2 linked regions of the Canis lupus familiaris genome follow. The protein of the gene in region 2 binds, or shares a complex with, the protein of the main gene of each other region. Links are inferred from orthologs where the notes say so. Each region holds a gene or a part of one and is shown on either strand. Other genes may lie near its edges.

Region 1 (8,114 bases), on a different chromosome or scaffold from region 2:
TCAACATCTGGGAAATTCCAAGGGTTTTAGAAACTGTGAGCCTGGAACTGTGGACAAAGACCAAATATACTCAAGAAGTCTATATTTGGTCATCTGAATGGGGAAAAGAAATGAAGAATAATATTTTATGATATGAAGATTGTATAAAATTCAAATTTCAGTGCCTATAAATAAAGTTTCATCGGCACACAGCCACGCCCATTCACTTAAGCCTCATTTCTGGCTGCTTCTGTGTTCCAGCAGAATCTGAGTCATTGAGACAGAACCGTCTGGCCCACAAGTATAAATATTGACCATCTGGTCCTCTGCAGAAAAAGTTAACCAGTTCAAGTGAAAATCATTTTCATTGGGTTTTATACTTAAAAAAAAAAAAAAAGAAAAATGTAAACCACTCTGAAAAGAGCAAATGCAGATGGAGGTACCAACACTACTGTCTTGTTCAGCTGCCTCTCCTGTTTGGGCCTAACTGTGCATCTGTGCGGCCCACCCGCTGTTTTGCGGTTTGCTGTGTCACAGAACCTCATGGGGATGGAGACAGTAGCCGTGCAAGACACTCGTGAACAGCTCTGGAGCTTTCCCCCTGGGGCTTGCCTGGCAGTGTGAACCCCTCTTCTGGGTCCCGGTCCCAGCGGAGAGCTGAGGAGTCTCTGCTGCCTGCTGGGAACAGGGGGACCTGCTTAGGTTCCAACCCCCTGCTGGGCGGTGCAGCTGGTCACGGGGGCCACTGCTGCCTCAGAATGTTTTCACTTTGGATTGTTGTTTCCTTGGCCCCAGAGGTCCAGATGTACGTCTGCAACAAGGAGGTGTATGGCTTCCTGCCGGTGCCACTGCGGGCGCACAGCACCCTCCAGGATGAGGCTGAGAGCTTCATGCATGTGCAGCTGGAGGTCATGGGTAAGTCCACCTGCACCAATCTGGGAGGGCCAAGTCACCTCCCTGTTTCTATTACCTCTCATCCATCCCCTGAGCACTGATTGGATGTCTGCTGCATGCCAGTTCCTTTACTGGGAGTCTGGCATGAAGAAGGTGGATGGTTGTTCCGGCTCTTACTAGCTTGCAAGCAGCTGTGCACAGCATCCTGAGAGCTGTCAGGATGGCCTTCTGGGAAGAGGTGACATTAAGATGCAGTAGGGGGGAGGAGTTAGCCAGGAAGAGGATCACAGCTGCGGGGAGCAGCACATGCAAAGGCTGGAGGGGACGTGAGCTCAGAGAATAGTTCAGAGAACAGGGAAATAAAGGGGCAGAAAATAAAGGAGGTAAAGGGGGCAGAGCTGGCAGGCAGGGCCAGCACAGGGGCCTTGGACACCCAAGCTGAGAGACAGGCCTTTTTCCCAAGGGCAGTTGGGAGCCATAGAGGGTGCAGGAGCAGAGGGTTAGCAGGTTTCCACCGATGGACCTTTATGTGCATGGCATGTCTGGGACACCTCTCTATTTTGGGCTTTTCCTCATCCATGCCTCTACCAAACCCCAGACCCACCATTATTTAATATTTATCTCAAGCACACTTTTTTTTCCCTCTTGAACACATTTTAAAAAAAAAAGATTTTATTTATTTATTTGAGAGAGAGAGTGAGCAAGGAGTGGGAGAGCAGAGGGAGAGGGAGAAGCAGATTCCTCATGCCGAGCAGGGAGCCCAGTGCAGGACTCAATCCTAGGACCCTGAGACCATGACCTAAGCCGAAGGCAGATGCTCAACCTACTGAGCCACCCAGGCTCCCCCGCTTGAATACATTTATTTAAAAAAGGGAACTAGATATTTTTACTGTAGTTGCAAGCTCATATCTTTTTAATATATAGACAAATAAATCCATAAACTGTTAAACTAGCTGTCCCTCTAGTGGGCGCCTGAGATCAGACAAGCACACAGGGCTGAGCTGCCATCAAGGTTGAGGAGGGGACTCCTGCCCCAGCTGGGGAGCTCCAGAGCAACCACCCAGTGATATGATACCTACTTCCATGAGGGCCGCACCCTGTGCCGGCCACACATATCCCCCAGAACGCCCCTGAGGCAGCATGGCCATTCCTCCCACTGCACAGACTGGGAGGAGCCCTGCCCTGCGCTGGAGTTCCTTTTCCACTCTTAAACCTAGCCCTGGAAAGTTCTGCTTATGGCACCCCCTGGTGGCTGAAGATGGAATAGCACCTGCCCTCTTTGTTTTGAGAGATTTTTGGGTATTTTGAGGTAATACCTGGAGGCTGCAGGGTCACCAGAGTATGGACCCCTGCAATATTCTAGTGTTTGTCACACACAGATGCCCAGACCTGGTCCAGCAGCCTCACCAGGCTGCAGTCACAGAGGCAGGTCTCTACTTGTTACCAACTCCAGTGGGAACTGGCCCCTGAGAAATGTCTCTGAGGCTGCGATAGTTTTCCTAGTTTATTATATTATTTATTATTTTAATTTTTACTATTTTTTATATTTCAAGAGAGAGAAAGCATGCATATGAACAGAGGTAATGCAGAGGGAGAGGGAGAGAGAGAATCCTAAGCAGGCTCCACACCCAGCAGAGCCCAGCGTGGAGCTCTCATGAGAACATGACCTGAACCAAAATCAAGAATCAGACACTCAACTGACTGAGCCACCCAGGCATCCCTAGTTTTCCTAGTTTAAAGTTTCTAATGCATTTCTGGTCAGGAAACCATTCACACTATTGTCAGAAACTGAAGTCACCAGAGGGGTGAATATTTTCCTGTGTCTCTAGGGCCCAAGCAAAGTATATAGAACAAACAGAAGGAGGGTCTGGAAGATTCAGATATTTGTGTAAATCTTTCCTTCTGGTTTGAGTGGAGACATTTTCTCTCCATCCATTATGTGGATACCTGGACCTGGTCTGTGCCTGTGATTTTTTTTCATGAATTCAAAAGTCTGTCTTACGATGAAATTTCAGGCCTGCAGGAAGTCTCAGTAAGGTTCTCTGTGAATGGAGAATCCTACAGCCTGCTTCCTTCCCTCTGCTCATGCACAGTGGGGCATCTTTCCCTATCGGCCCCATATACCTTGCTTGGTGTAAATCCTGTTTGTTGAGTGTTAGCACACACCGTGGGAATGGGTGGTGTGCATGTGGTATGATGATTTTTTTATATCCTGTTACCAGGCCAGGCCCTGGCCCTCCCGCCACCCCAGTTTCATCGGCCGATGGGTTGTAGCTGTCTTGTTCTTCTATGAGTGGAATCGCCCAACATGCCTCTCTCAAGTGCCATGTCTTCTGCTCAGTGTCCCACCAGTGCCAGCGTGGCTGCCATGTGCAGCTGTGGCTTGTTCCTCGCCTTGCCACATAGTGTTACACGTAGATGTTTAACCACAGATTTATCCAGTCTTGGCTGCATCACACGTCACTTACAAGTCTTCTCATGAGGGATACAGGGTGTTTCCCACTGTCCCCAGGGTTGCTATGAGTTTCCCAAGCATGCGTGTGAGGGAGTTCCAGACATGCATCCGTGGGTGCCAAGTAAGGAAATATCCACAGGATTGCTCTCACTTCTTACAACAGCTGCAAGGTCATGGGGCCCCCAAGACCAGACTAGGGGTTTGATAATTCACTAGAAGGACACAGGACTCCCTGGAAGCCATTACACTCCCAGTTACTGTTTACTACAAGCAAAAGGACACCGATGATAATTGGCAAAGGGAAGAGGTATCTGGGGTGGCACCCAGCAGAGTTCCAAGCATGGAACTTCCGGTTGTTCCCTCTCTGTGGAGTCGTGTGGACAGCTTTCACTTGTAGCACTGCTGTGTGACAATATGCAGGGTGTACTGCCATCCGGAGATGCTCCCTGAGCCTTGGTGTCCATGGTTTTTACTGGGGCTCACCCACATGGAGCTGGCTGATTACCACATGGGTGACCTCCGTCTCTAGCCCCTGCAGAGGGCGAGCTGATTCCACGTGACCCAAGCCTCCTGCCCTAAATCACACTGTTGGCATAGACCACCCCAGGCCCCAGTCTTATTAGGCAGGATGTTCAGAGGGCTTCCACCTCTCAGAAGCTGGGGGACAAAGCCAGATTTTTCTTTGGGCAAGTTTGGTTATTCACCCCATGATGGGCCTGGAGGTGTTAGGTTTTTATAACCACTGTGATGTGACTTTCTGGAAAGACTAAATTGCTTTGTTCCTTCTGGATGTCTGGTGTGCTCCGTTTTTACAGAACTGATGCCAAAGAGTGAGGAGACCCTCCGTCCCACAGGCAGGCCTTGTTGCCTCCACACTCCCCAGTGGAGGGGCAGACCCTCGGGAAAAGGGAAACGACACCTGGAGTTTGGACCCGGGTCCTCAGATCCCAACATCTGGCCCTTGGTCTCCAGGCTCCCCAAAGAGGATGGGGAGTAGCCAGAGCTGTGAAGAGCCCTGGGCAGGAGGAAAGCCCGGGATGCAGTGTCCCTAGGGAGCCCAGGTTGGCTTTGGGCCTCACCTAGGCCTGTCCCAGACAGAGGGGGGCTTTGTCTGTCCCTCAGGCTCATATAGGGCCTTTATTCTTGATGGGGTAGATGCCATACTCACTGTCAGGCTGGGCCCCTGTGGGTCAGGCGGTGGGCGTGCAGAAGCCACCCCGGCCTCATATCCATCCAAGGATCTGGTCATTCTGAGGGAGACCACCAGGGATGTGCCAAGATGGGGCTCTGGGGACATGGTCTGGTCTGAGCATTGTTCACAGCAGCTGGAAGGGCAGTGGTCATGACCACTCTGAGATTCTTGCCATTCCTTGGCTGGTAGACATGCCACTCCAGTCACGTGGTCACCTTTCCCTTGTGTGTCTCTGTGGTCATCCCTCTGTGTGCATGGCTGTATCCAAATTTCTCATTTTTATGAGAATCCCAGTCAGTATTTTAATCTGATTATCTCTATAAAGACCTTATTTCCAAATAAGGCCACATCTTGAGGTACTGAGGGTTGAGATGCTAACATGCTGGGGAGGACACAGTTCAACCCATAATGTGTGTCATTTTACAACATCTTTTCCTGAAGCCTCTGTGAGGAGGAGGTTTTTAAAATTAGGAGCCCTGGGGTGCCTGGGTGCCTCAGTCGGTTGAACATCTGACTCTCGGTTTTGGTTCAGGTCTTGATCTCAGGGTCCTGAGATTGAGCCCCATGTCAGGCTCAGTGCAGAGTCTGCTTGAGATTCTCTCTCCCTCTGCCCCTCCTCCTGCTTGTGGACTCTTTCTCTAAAATAAATCTGTAGGGCAGCCCCGGTGGCGCAGCTGTTTAGAGCCTCCTGCAGCCCAGGGCATGATCCTGGAGACCTGGGATCGAGTCCCACGTCAGGCTCTCTGTGTGGCGCCTGCTTCTCCCTCTGCCTGTGTCTCTGCCTCTCTCTCTCTCTCTGTATCTATGAATAAATAAAATAAAATCTTAAAAAAATTAAATAAAATAAATCTGTAATGAAATGAAATAGAAAAACAAAACAAAATAAAATAAAATAGGAGTCCCATTTTATAGACGAGGAAAGCCAAGGCCCCGACAGGTCAAGGTCACACAGCTTGGCACCATTCCTTTGTTCATTCTATAAATAATTATTGAGTGCCTGATGTGTACCAAGCATTGGGCACTGGGGACTCAGTATGAGTGGGCAGACCTGGTGTCTGTCCTACGGGGTTCATGGGAGACAGGAAGCCAGGGAGGTAGGGCTGAAGGATTGGGATTTGATGATCAAAGGCCAGGTGCTGTGGGAGCTAGGATAAGGTATCCTGGTCCAACTCAAGTCTATAAATAGACTAATAGTTTCGATGATTACTATCTTAGTTGGGAGGTCAGGGAAAGGAGAGGAGAAAGGAAGGTGTTTTGGGCCAAGGCCAAGCATGTGCAAAGGTCCTGAGGTAGGAAGGGGTGCATTTGGGGCAGTGTCAACAGCCAGGGTGAGTAGGTGGGGGGTAAAGAGGCCAGCACCAACATTGTGAGCGGAACGGTGTCAGGCACAGTCTCCGATGCCAGGCCAAGGAGCTTAGGGTAATGGTTCCTGGAGAGGTTGGGGAGGGGACGTTGTTCCTCCCCACCCCCCCAGTGTCCCCACTGACCCCTTGGCACTGTCTGCCCCACAGTGAAGCACCCACCAGCGGAGCCCTCCAAGTTCATCTCAGTGCCCACCAAGACACCTGACAAGATGGGCTTTGACGAGGTGAGCTGGGCCTTCCCTCGTGGGTGGGGGTGGGGCGGGGGCCGCCCGGAGGGTCCTACCAGAGCTTCTGGCTGCAGGTCTTCATGATCAACCTGAAGCGGCGGCAGGATCGGCGGGAGCGCATGCTGCGGGCGCTGCAGGAGCAGGAGATCGAGTGCCGGCTGGTAGAGGCCGTAGATGGCAAGTACGTTTCCCCCTCTCCCCGGGTCGGGGCATGGGGGGCCAGCGGGGAGCAGGTCCGTCCAGGGGTGTAGACCATGCACTGGCAGCCCCGGCCTCGTGGGTCCAGGAGAGGTGCTAACGGTGGAAGAGAGAGGGGCGCGCTAATGGTGGCACAGCAGGCCCAGTGGGTCTTCCTCTGACCCGCCTCCCCCACCTCCAGAGCCATGAACACCAGCCAGGTGGAGGCGCTGGGCATCCAGATGCTCCCCGGCTACCGTGACCCCTACCACGGGCGGCCTCTCACCAAGGGCGAGCTGGGCTGCTTCCTCAGCCACTATAACATCTGGAAGGAGGTAGGTCTGGCAGGGGAGGGCAGGGCGGTCCCCCCACTGGCCGCTCAGGGAGGGACTCATGGGCACCCCCTGCAGGACCCTGAGACTTCAGCAGGACGCAGGGCCTGTCTTTAGAGAACGCTTCACCTGCATGTCACCTGCACCCTGGCTGGGGCAGCTGCTGTCCTTTCATTATGCGGATGGGGAAGCAGACTAGGGAAGGAGGATGGGTTGAGCCTGGCTCCTGAAAAAGGGGGGTCTCAGGCCCAGGACTCCCAAGCAAGGCCTCTTCCCACCCAACTGCTGTCACATGTCTTTGGAACCTGGACTCTGTGCTCAACCATTAGGAGTAACGGCCATGGGGACAGTAAGCAATGCTAACCCCATGCCAGGGGCTTGCCAGCCACCCTCAGAAGGGAGGGCTGTGATAGGTGGGGACTGAGATTCAAACCTGGAACCACGGAGCATGAGGCCAGATAGGGCATTTAGGCATTTGAGGTGACGGGTGCTCTTTCCCTGAGTGAGATTTGTCATAGAGGGTGTGGGGCAGAGGTTACCATGTTCAGGGGGCCAGGACTTGGTGTCAAGTCCAGCCCTACCTCGTAGAGGGGTAAGCTCTGTAAGGAGGGTCCCTGTTGTTGCAGATGACAGTCACCCTCCTCAGTCTTGAGGACTGTCAAGTGCATTCAGGGAGCACCCAAGCACCTACTGTGCATTTGGCCTAGTGCTGGTGCTGGAAACTTGACAGCCCCTAAGACAGATGCATACCCCTGCAGGGGGCTCACAGCCCAGGGAAATGGGGAGACTGATGGCAAACCACAATAAACCAAGTGTGATGCACCCACAGCAGGGCCATGAATTGTCCTCAGCTGACAGCTTTGGCCAGTGGTTGGTGGTTGGGGAGGGTGACATCTGAGCCGAGGCCTGAAGGCTGGGGGCTTGCCTGCTGCCATGACAAGGGGTGCTTTGTGTCAGCACAGGCATAGGCCCTGGGGTGGGAAGGAGCAGCTCAGGCAAGGCCAAGGCCAGGGCACCTGTTGCCATGTGTGAGGGGAGCCAATGGCCAAGAGGTCGATCCAGTAGGTGGCGAGGAGGGCTTGTGTCTGCTTCTCTCCTGCTGCCCCAGGCCTAAGCAGAGCTGATGTCAGGGTCAGGTCTGGCCTTGGCCTCCATGTGATGTGGGCAGGGCACCCCCCTCAGGTCGTGGACCGCGGGCTGCAGAAGTCACTGGTCTTCGAGGATGACCTGCGCTTTGAGATCTTTTTCAAGAGACGCCTGCTGAACCTCATGCGGGACGTGGAGCGGGAGGGTCTGGACTGGGACCTCATGTGAGTGTGGGGCAGGGCTGGTAGTGTGATCTGCACCTGGGTGGCGCTGGGGTGGGGCCGGGGCTCAGGGGTGAAGTTTGGAGCAGGGTGAAGCTGGAGCCTGGAGCTCAGAAGTGTGGCCCAGAGCCTGTAGGCATGAGGACCTTTGCAAATTAATAGGCCAGCCAGCTCTTGGGGTTGTGGC
Region 2 (7,088 bases):
TCTATCCCTGTCTCCCGCTTCACTCTCATGTGGGTTGCCACCCGCCAAGGAGGTATTTTCTCCTGTCCCTGATCAGCCCACTTCCACCTGCAGGGAGACCCAGGTGAGACACACAGGCCAGAGAGATGCTCAGTCTACAGTCTATGAAGGAAGGCTTCATAGAGGAGGTTCTCCTGGGAGTCCAGGCAGTAGGGAGGAAGGCGTGGATGGCAAGTTAGGTGTCGGAGGTGAGAAGTGCCCTGGGATCCAAGAACAGGCCATTTGGTTTTCAAAAGGCTTCTGCAAGGGACCAGTTGGGAGAGAAACCCAGCAAGGTAGGCTGGAAAAGGAACTGGAAAGGACCAAGCTAAAGGAACATGGCCTGCAGTCCCCAGGGCACCTGTTTGCAGAGGCTGGAGGCCACATCAGCTCTCAGGAGGTCTCGCCTCTTTTTCAAGGCTGCTTCACATTCTCCTCTTCCAGGAAGCTTTCTTGGGATGACTCTCTAGGGCTTTCCTGATCCTCCCTAACCAAAAGCTGGAGTCCTAGAAGCCTCCTGTGTCCCCTTAGAACACATGCTTCCAGGGGGCCTTCCTTCCCTTTGCACTGGCCCCAGAGCCCCGCACAGGGCTCTGACATCCCACAGATGCCCTCAAGTGACAAGAGAGTCAGGGAGAAGAGGCTGGGTCTGGCGGGAGAGTGGGGGTAGGCTTCCACCTAAATCTAAGTGAAGTCCTTGGGGCCTGGCCCTTCTCAGGCTCCCCATGCTACCCCTACCTCCAGAAATGGGACCCAGGGAAGCTTCCAGGTTCCCACACTGCTCTACCATCCGCTTCTGCCTTCTCCCCTCTGTTCTTTTTCTGTGGGGTAACTCCTTCCGCTCTGGTGGCAGGAGGGATTCAGGCTCAGTAGGGAGGTGAAAGACATACACAGACTCAAGAGTTACAAATCCTCCTTTATGGGAGGGAGGCTGAGAAACAATAATTTATTGTATGGGGAGCCCCCAGAAGCCTTCTCCCCAGGAACCTTTGGGGACCATGGGGAGGGGCATGGGGGCTCCAGGAGCTTCCTGAGAGGGCCGTGTGTTGGGGTGGGGAGGCGACACATTCAGTCCCAGGCACACTGAACATCCGCTCAGGAAAGGAGGCGCCAGACAGACCCCCTTCCAAGGAGGGGGGTGCAGGAAGGCACAGCGGCAGCGAAGGTTTGGCAGAGTGGTTGAGTGTCAGGGATCGACAAAGGACACCATGATGTAGCGAGTGCCCCGAGTAGTGGGCAGCCCCTCGTGGTAGTGGGTGAGACGGCCGGGGTGCAGGAGCCCCCAGCCCTTCCGTGGGGATGAGACTATGCAGTCATAGCGCAAGAAGCGACAGCCACCTCCCTGGAAGAAACGGAGGAATGGAAGTGGGCAAATCAGTAGATGGGGGGCGGGGGGCACAGGAGGGTGAGAGGCTGGATGGGGGGCTTGGGGTGTCAGCATACAAGAGAGGCACTGGGGTGGGCTGGGGTGGGGGGGTGGTGGCAAGGCACACAGCCTGAAAGAGGTCCGGGAGGTGGTGCAGGCGAAGTAACTGGAACCAAGAAGAGGACAGGCCAGGGACAGGTGCCTGAGGGTGTGTAGGGGTTGTCAGGAGGCCCAGGGCTCAAGTGTGTATGTGCGTGTGTGGAGAGGCCCTGCTGGTGCCCTGACGGGGGAGGGCACTCGGGGCTCACCTCATAATCCAGGCCCTTGTGGTTGAGGGCCACGTTGAGAGTGAAGGTGGATGAGTCGTGATGGGGCCGCAAAGAGGGCTGCTCATCTGGCCGGTAACGGACCACAAAGTTCATCACTGCCCGGGTCTGTGGGGGGCACGAGAGAAGAGGTGGGAGGGATGGCCGTGAGGTCACAGGGTGGGCGGGGGCGCTTCTGAGGAGGTGAAGCCTCAACCCAGTGGGAGGAGGGGAGGAGGGCTGCAGGGATCTTGGCCCTTGGGGGTATCCTGCGAACTCCCCGGGGGGCTGCCATCCAGTGGTATCCCTTCCCTCAGGACTCCAGATGCTACAGGAGCTGAAGGAGCACCATGTGCAGACTTCCAGCCAGAACTGGGGTGTGGGAGGAGGCAGGGGTGGCAGCTCACCTTGGTGTGGTAGCCTGGGAACAGGCTCTCTGTCATGGGGCCCACGTACGTCCTCAATAGCTGCAGCCACTGGTCTTCATAGCCCACCTGCTTCATATGGATGTCCACAGTGGGCACATTCTCGTAGCCTCCAGCCAGCCTTGAGTCCTGTGGGCAGTGGGCACTGAGCCCAAATAGGGCCATGCCAGCCGCTCCCCCCTGCTCTGAGGCCCGAAAGCTTGTGTGACGTGCATTTAGGAGCCTCGACCACTCTACCTGACTCCCTCTAACTCACCCTGAAGATGGTACCTCTTCTGGGAAGCCCCTTGGTCACCCCCCACGTCCAGGCCAAGGGCCCCTCCTGTGACTCCTACAGCATCTGGGCTGCCCATCACAACCTTCAGGAGCAGGGCTCCTGCTATTGCCTATAGCAGGTGAGGTGCAGGAGGGCAGGGCTCAAGCAAGTGCTCTACACCAGAGCGCCCAGTTCAGTGGTGGGTGTCGCAGACCTGCCTGCCTGGTAAGGAGTTTCTGAATGAATGCATGCATGCAGTTGTGCCCCCCCTGGGTCCCCAGCACTCTGGGGGCCCCACCCTGCTCCGACTCTCATGATTCCATTTCCCTTCATCACAGCTGCACCTTCCCTGCCCCAGGGGGTGGGGAGTCCTCCCTGCCCCAGCCCCTCTCACCTCATGCCGGCCTCCTGACCACTGGCCATAGTGCTCCATTTCCTCCACCAGTTCGTCACACATCTGGTCGGACAGCAGGGGGAACCAGTACACATCTGGGCACGGCTGAGGACAGACAGGGCAAGAACAGGGCGGGGAGATGCTTGCAGACCTCTTGGGGAGCAAAGCAGCCAACCGAGGGGAGTAAAGGCAGGGAGCAGGGATGCCTGGGTGGCTCAGCAGTTGAGCGTCTGCCTTCAGCTCAGGTCGTGATCCCGGGGTTCCGGGATTGAGTCCCACATCGGGCTCCCCACAGAAATCCTGCTTCTTTCTCTGCCTATTTGCTTCTCTCTCTTTCTGTGTCTCTCATAAATAAAATAAAATAAGATAAAATAAATAAAATAATAAAATAAATAAAATAAAATAAATAAAATAAAATAAAATAAAAAATAAATAAAATAATAAATAAATAAATAGATAAATATAAAATAAAATAAAATAAAATAAAATAAAATAAAATAAAATAAATAAAAAAGCAGGGAACAGAAAAGGAAGCCAGGAGATGGGAGAAGCTTGGGGATTGGGACTCTGAACATGGGGGCTAGCCAGGAAAGGCTGGGCCATGGAAGGCAGGTGTGGCACCGGAAAAAGTACAAATGGCATATGGCTGCCGGGGCTTTACAAAACTGTCATGCCACCCATAATACCAATAAGCCCGACAACAAGAGAGGATTGCTCTGATCAGTGGCAGGGTGGGGAGCCGAAGGCCTATCTGCTGGGCCTCCACCTTTATCTGCCTAAGCAGAAAACCCTCAGACACCCAAGAGAAGTCGGTTTGAAAATGACTAATCCAGGCAGGCGACTCAGGGGGTCAGGGGTCCTACATGGGGCTCACCTGTTCCACGAGCCCCTCCCCTTCAAGGGCCCGGCTGTAGTTCTCATGAATGTACTGCTCCTTCCAATCCTGAGGGAGAGGGAGGGGTACACACCTCCATGGGTGCCCTCTTCACTCCCTCAGCTCCCACTCAGGAAGCCCCAGTACCACAACCACCACCACCTCTCCCCACACAGTTGCTGAACTTGGGAGCAAGCGCTTGCACATGTGTCCAGGTGCCTGCATCCTCCCAGAGTGGAGGGCATGTCCCATTCTCTGAGCAAGCAGTTGGCTCTCACCAGGGGGTTGTCGAAGATCTGCCAGAGGTCCGGGTGCAGATGGTCTGTGTCATACCGGGAAGTGGCCAGGAGGCGGCCAAACTCGTGCTGATTACTAAGGTGGAGGAAGATGCCCTGGAGTGGGGGGGGAGGGTGTGAGGAGACATGGGTGGCTGCTTCTCTGCACCTCAGCTTTGGGCGCCCAGGCCCCACTCACCTTATCCCGCAGGCTCTTACAGAAGGCCATGTCTGGGTCGGTGTCACTGCCTGAGAACACCTCCCTCTGGGGCAGCTCTGTCCTCAGGGTCTCACCACGGATCACGTATGCCTGGGATATATAGGGCACATTCCACACGCCCCTGGAGGCACCCACGCTGGGGTCAGATCAGTGGGTGGCCCTCTCCCCCAAATTCTGCCCGGTTCAACCCAGGAACCCCTTCCTTCAGGGCACCCCACCCTCCAGGCCAAAAGGTCCCATCGCTTCCCTGCTAAGCACTGCTAGTCACAACACCTCAGTCTGCTCCATAGTCAGCCCCAACTCTGCAGGGGTGGCACTTCTGACTGGTGGCCACTCTGGACCCCCGAGAGCAGGGAAACGGGGGAGCATGCAGGTGTTTATGGTCTCCTCCCCAAGGCCAGACAAGAGGGTTTGCAGCCCTCCGGCAGGACTCACACTCGCTTCCGCTGTACCAGCTCCACATAGTCCTCCGAGCGAGCGTAGTACTCATCGGGGCTCAGGGCTCCCCAGAAGTTGGACCACAGCTTCCCGTGGCGGGACAGCATGGGTGCTATCACCTTCCTGTGGACAGGCAGAGGTGAGCCCTGGGCCCCAGGAAGGAGGTGGGGGCTCCCAGGAGACTATTTGGGGGCCCTCTGGCTGAGTGGGGCAAGTGACCTGTTCTCTTCAATGAGGATGCGCAGTGTCTGAGGGTTGGTGATGACGGCATCAGCGTCCAGGCTGAAGTAGAATTCACACTCTGGGTCCTGCCGACAACTGTCCCTGGAGGTGATAGATCAACGAACACTTGAGCTGAAACAGGAGCAGGTGGGGGAAGGAAGGGACTGTGTGGTAAGTGGAAGAACTCCCCCACCTGTCGAGGAGAGCAAGAAAGTGGGTAGAAGCACCAGCAAGAGGAGAAGAGGAAGGCTGGGGGTGCTGGGGGGTGCTGTGCTTGCTTCCCCAGGACCCCAGGTTCTCCTGGCTGGGAGGGTGCCCCTGTGGAGGCTGAGCATAGGCTCCATGCTACATGGAGCACCCCTTCACCCTTGACCATCCTCCCCACCCAGTGCTCACTCACATGGCCATGTCCCTGGCCTCGCCTGGTGTCAGGGCCTCCTCTGGTCCCACCAGCTTCACAGCTGAGAAGTGGTCCTGGAGCTGGGGCCAGGAGTCTGCGATGTGGGGCTCATGGTACACCTCCTGGAGATGGGAGAGAGGGGTTAGAGAGGGTAGGAAAAATGGTGCCTGAGGGACAGGAGGGGCAAGGAGGTGGATGGAAAGGATGTAAGGAAGGAGTCCGGGTGGGGGTGGGGGGTGGGAGTTCCAGACCAGGTAGGGGCAGAGTTCCTTGGGAGGGTGCACAAGGGAGAGGCTGTCAGAGTGTCTCACGTTGTTATGCAGGAACAGGGTGACCCTGTCAGGGGGGTAGTCCAGGAGCAGCAGCCGCTGCAGGAAGCGGGGCAGGAATGGGGTAGGTTGTTCTACAAACACAGCCAGAAGCACCCGGGGGGGAGGCTGGAAGATACAACATGACGACATGACGGGGCTCAGAGGAGTCCAGGCCCCCAGACCAGTGTGTCCTCTACCACCCTGGCAGGTTGGGAATCCCCAGGAGCTCCCCATGCACTGCTGCCCAGCAGGCTCTCCCTGTGCCCTCTGCCTTGATGCCTGGTCCTGCAGCACCCTAGCACCCCTCCTCACCTGCCCCCCCGGGAGTGTCCTCCGGTCCCGGCCACAGAACCCACAGCCTCCCTGAGGAGTCCAGCCATTAGGAACATAGTTTCCCAGGTAATTCAGCTGGAGCTGTTGGGAGAGGCAGTAAGAGGTAGAAGCCAAGGAGTCCAGCAGCAGAGGTGAGGGAGGTCAGGTGGACAGGCAGGGGACAGGGCAGGAAGGGGAGAGATGGACACTTAGCACCTCTCCCAGCACCTCTGCTGCTGGTGGGGTTAGGGAGGACAGGCTTGGAAGGGCTAGAGGTAGGTAGGGGCAGGGGTGGAGGGTATAAGCCATTGGAGCACCTTAGTAGGACCATTCCCGTGGACCACAACAGGAAGTGTGTCGTAGGCCACATTCCGGATCCGCACACGATTCCGATCAAACTTTAAAACCACCTCATCTGGGGAAGAAAGGCTCTGCTTTACACTCCTTTCCTCTCAAAGCTGCCAAGCAATGATGCTTCTAAGTATGGGATGCGGTTGGGTGGGGGAACCTGGGGGGGCTTCTCTAGAGGATGAAGGACTGTGGCTCTAGGGTAGGGTTCTTTCTCTCTCCCGAGGGTTCTGACCAGGCTCTGGCCACCCTGGGGGAGTTCCTAGGTAAGTCACCAGTCCCTCAGAGAGGCACTTTCCTCCCTGTAACAGGGGGTAAGCCCAGACCTTCCCTTTGAAGGGCTAAATAAAATGACAGAAGTAGAGCCCTTTGTTCTCACCTAAAGCCCCATTGAGGTTCTGAAAGATCCGAGATTTATGATCCAGATTGAGGCTGAGTTTTTCCTAGATGGGATGAGATGGGGCAGGTCACTATGCAGGGAGGTAGGCCAGCACTTCCCACTCCTTTTACATCCTCCCAAAAGTCCTACCCTCTCCTCTCCCCTTCAGCTGGAGGCTGGACAGCCCCCCTCCAGCCTTCCCTACCCTCAGCCCTGGGTCCAGGTAGAGCCGAGTATAGAACAGCTGGTCGTCATCGTCATCCTTGTACTTCCACTGGCGGACCACTTTGTGGATGGTGGGGGCAAAGCCAATGAATCCTGCAGGGGATGGGTGAGCAGGTGCTGACTCCAGGACTCTCAAGGCCCCAGGGCCCAGTCCCACTCCCTCTCTGGCCCTCAGCACCTGGAACACTCCATATGCCCCTCCATATGTCCCACCACTCTTTTCCCTCTGCCTCAGGTGCTCTGCCACTCACCACCAGAGTTGAGGAAGCGCTTCCCTGTGCCCACCTCAGGGTACTGCTCGGCCAGCCCCCACTCGGGCC

The links.
Region 1: the proteins of PLOD3 (region 2) and COLGALT1 are in contact, whole or in part, in a cryo-EM structure (PDB 8ZGE), measured with the Homo sapiens proteins. The link is inferred for Canis lupus familiaris from reciprocal best matches to the Homo sapiens genes PLOD3 and COLGALT1. Residues at the interface, in NP_001075.1 of Homo sapiens: Leu226, Val229, Val230, Leu231, Lys232, Phe233, Asp234, Arg235, Arg241, Gln261, Tyr264, Leu265, Pro275, Gly430, Ala431, Leu432, Arg440, Glu442, Glu446, Arg452; in NP_078932.2 of Homo sapiens: Ala36, Tyr37, Phe38, Pro39, Glu40, Glu41, Arg42, Trp43.

What each region holds. Positions count from the first base shown.
Region 1 is NC_049241.1:45,663,603-45,671,716, reverse strand, and holds part of COLGALT1 (procollagen galactosyltransferase 1), read left to right. Parts: intron 1-774; coding exon 775-894; intron 895-6,031; coding exon 6,032-6,108; intron 6,109-6,185; coding exon 6,186-6,292; intron 6,293-6,490; coding exon 6,491-6,623; intron 6,624-7,802; coding exon 7,803-7,930; intron 7,931-8,114. UniProt on the Homo sapiens protein: Beta-galactosyltransferase that transfers beta-galactose to hydroxylysine residues of type I collagen. By acting on collagen glycosylation, facilitates the formation of collagen triple helix. Also involved in the biosynthesis of collagen type IV.
Region 2 is NC_049227.1:8,580,374-8,587,461, reverse strand, and holds the end of PLOD3 (multifunctional procollagen lysine hydroxylase and glycosyltransferase LH3), read right to left. Parts: coding exon 7,020-7,088; intron 6,862-7,019; coding exon 6,749-6,861; intron 6,608-6,748; coding exon 6,544-6,607; intron 6,232-6,543; coding exon 6,134-6,231; intron 5,919-6,133; coding exon 5,817-5,918; intron 5,631-5,816; coding exon 5,505-5,630; intron 5,316-5,504; coding exon 5,194-5,315; intron 4,896-5,193; coding exon 4,791-4,895; intron 4,695-4,790; coding exon 4,569-4,694; intron 4,255-4,568; coding exon 4,113-4,254; intron 4,031-4,112; coding exon 3,917-4,030; intron 3,708-3,916; coding exon 3,639-3,707; intron 2,870-3,638; coding exon 2,765-2,869; intron 2,244-2,764; coding exon 2,097-2,243; intron 1,819-2,096; coding exon 1,693-1,818; intron 1,361-1,692; coding exon 1,205-1,360; 3' UTR 922-1,204; downstream 1-921. UniProt on the Homo sapiens protein: Multifunctional enzyme that catalyzes a series of essential post-translational modifications on Lys residues in procollagen. Plays a redundant role in catalyzing the formation of hydroxylysine residues in -Xaa-Lys-Gly- sequences in collagens.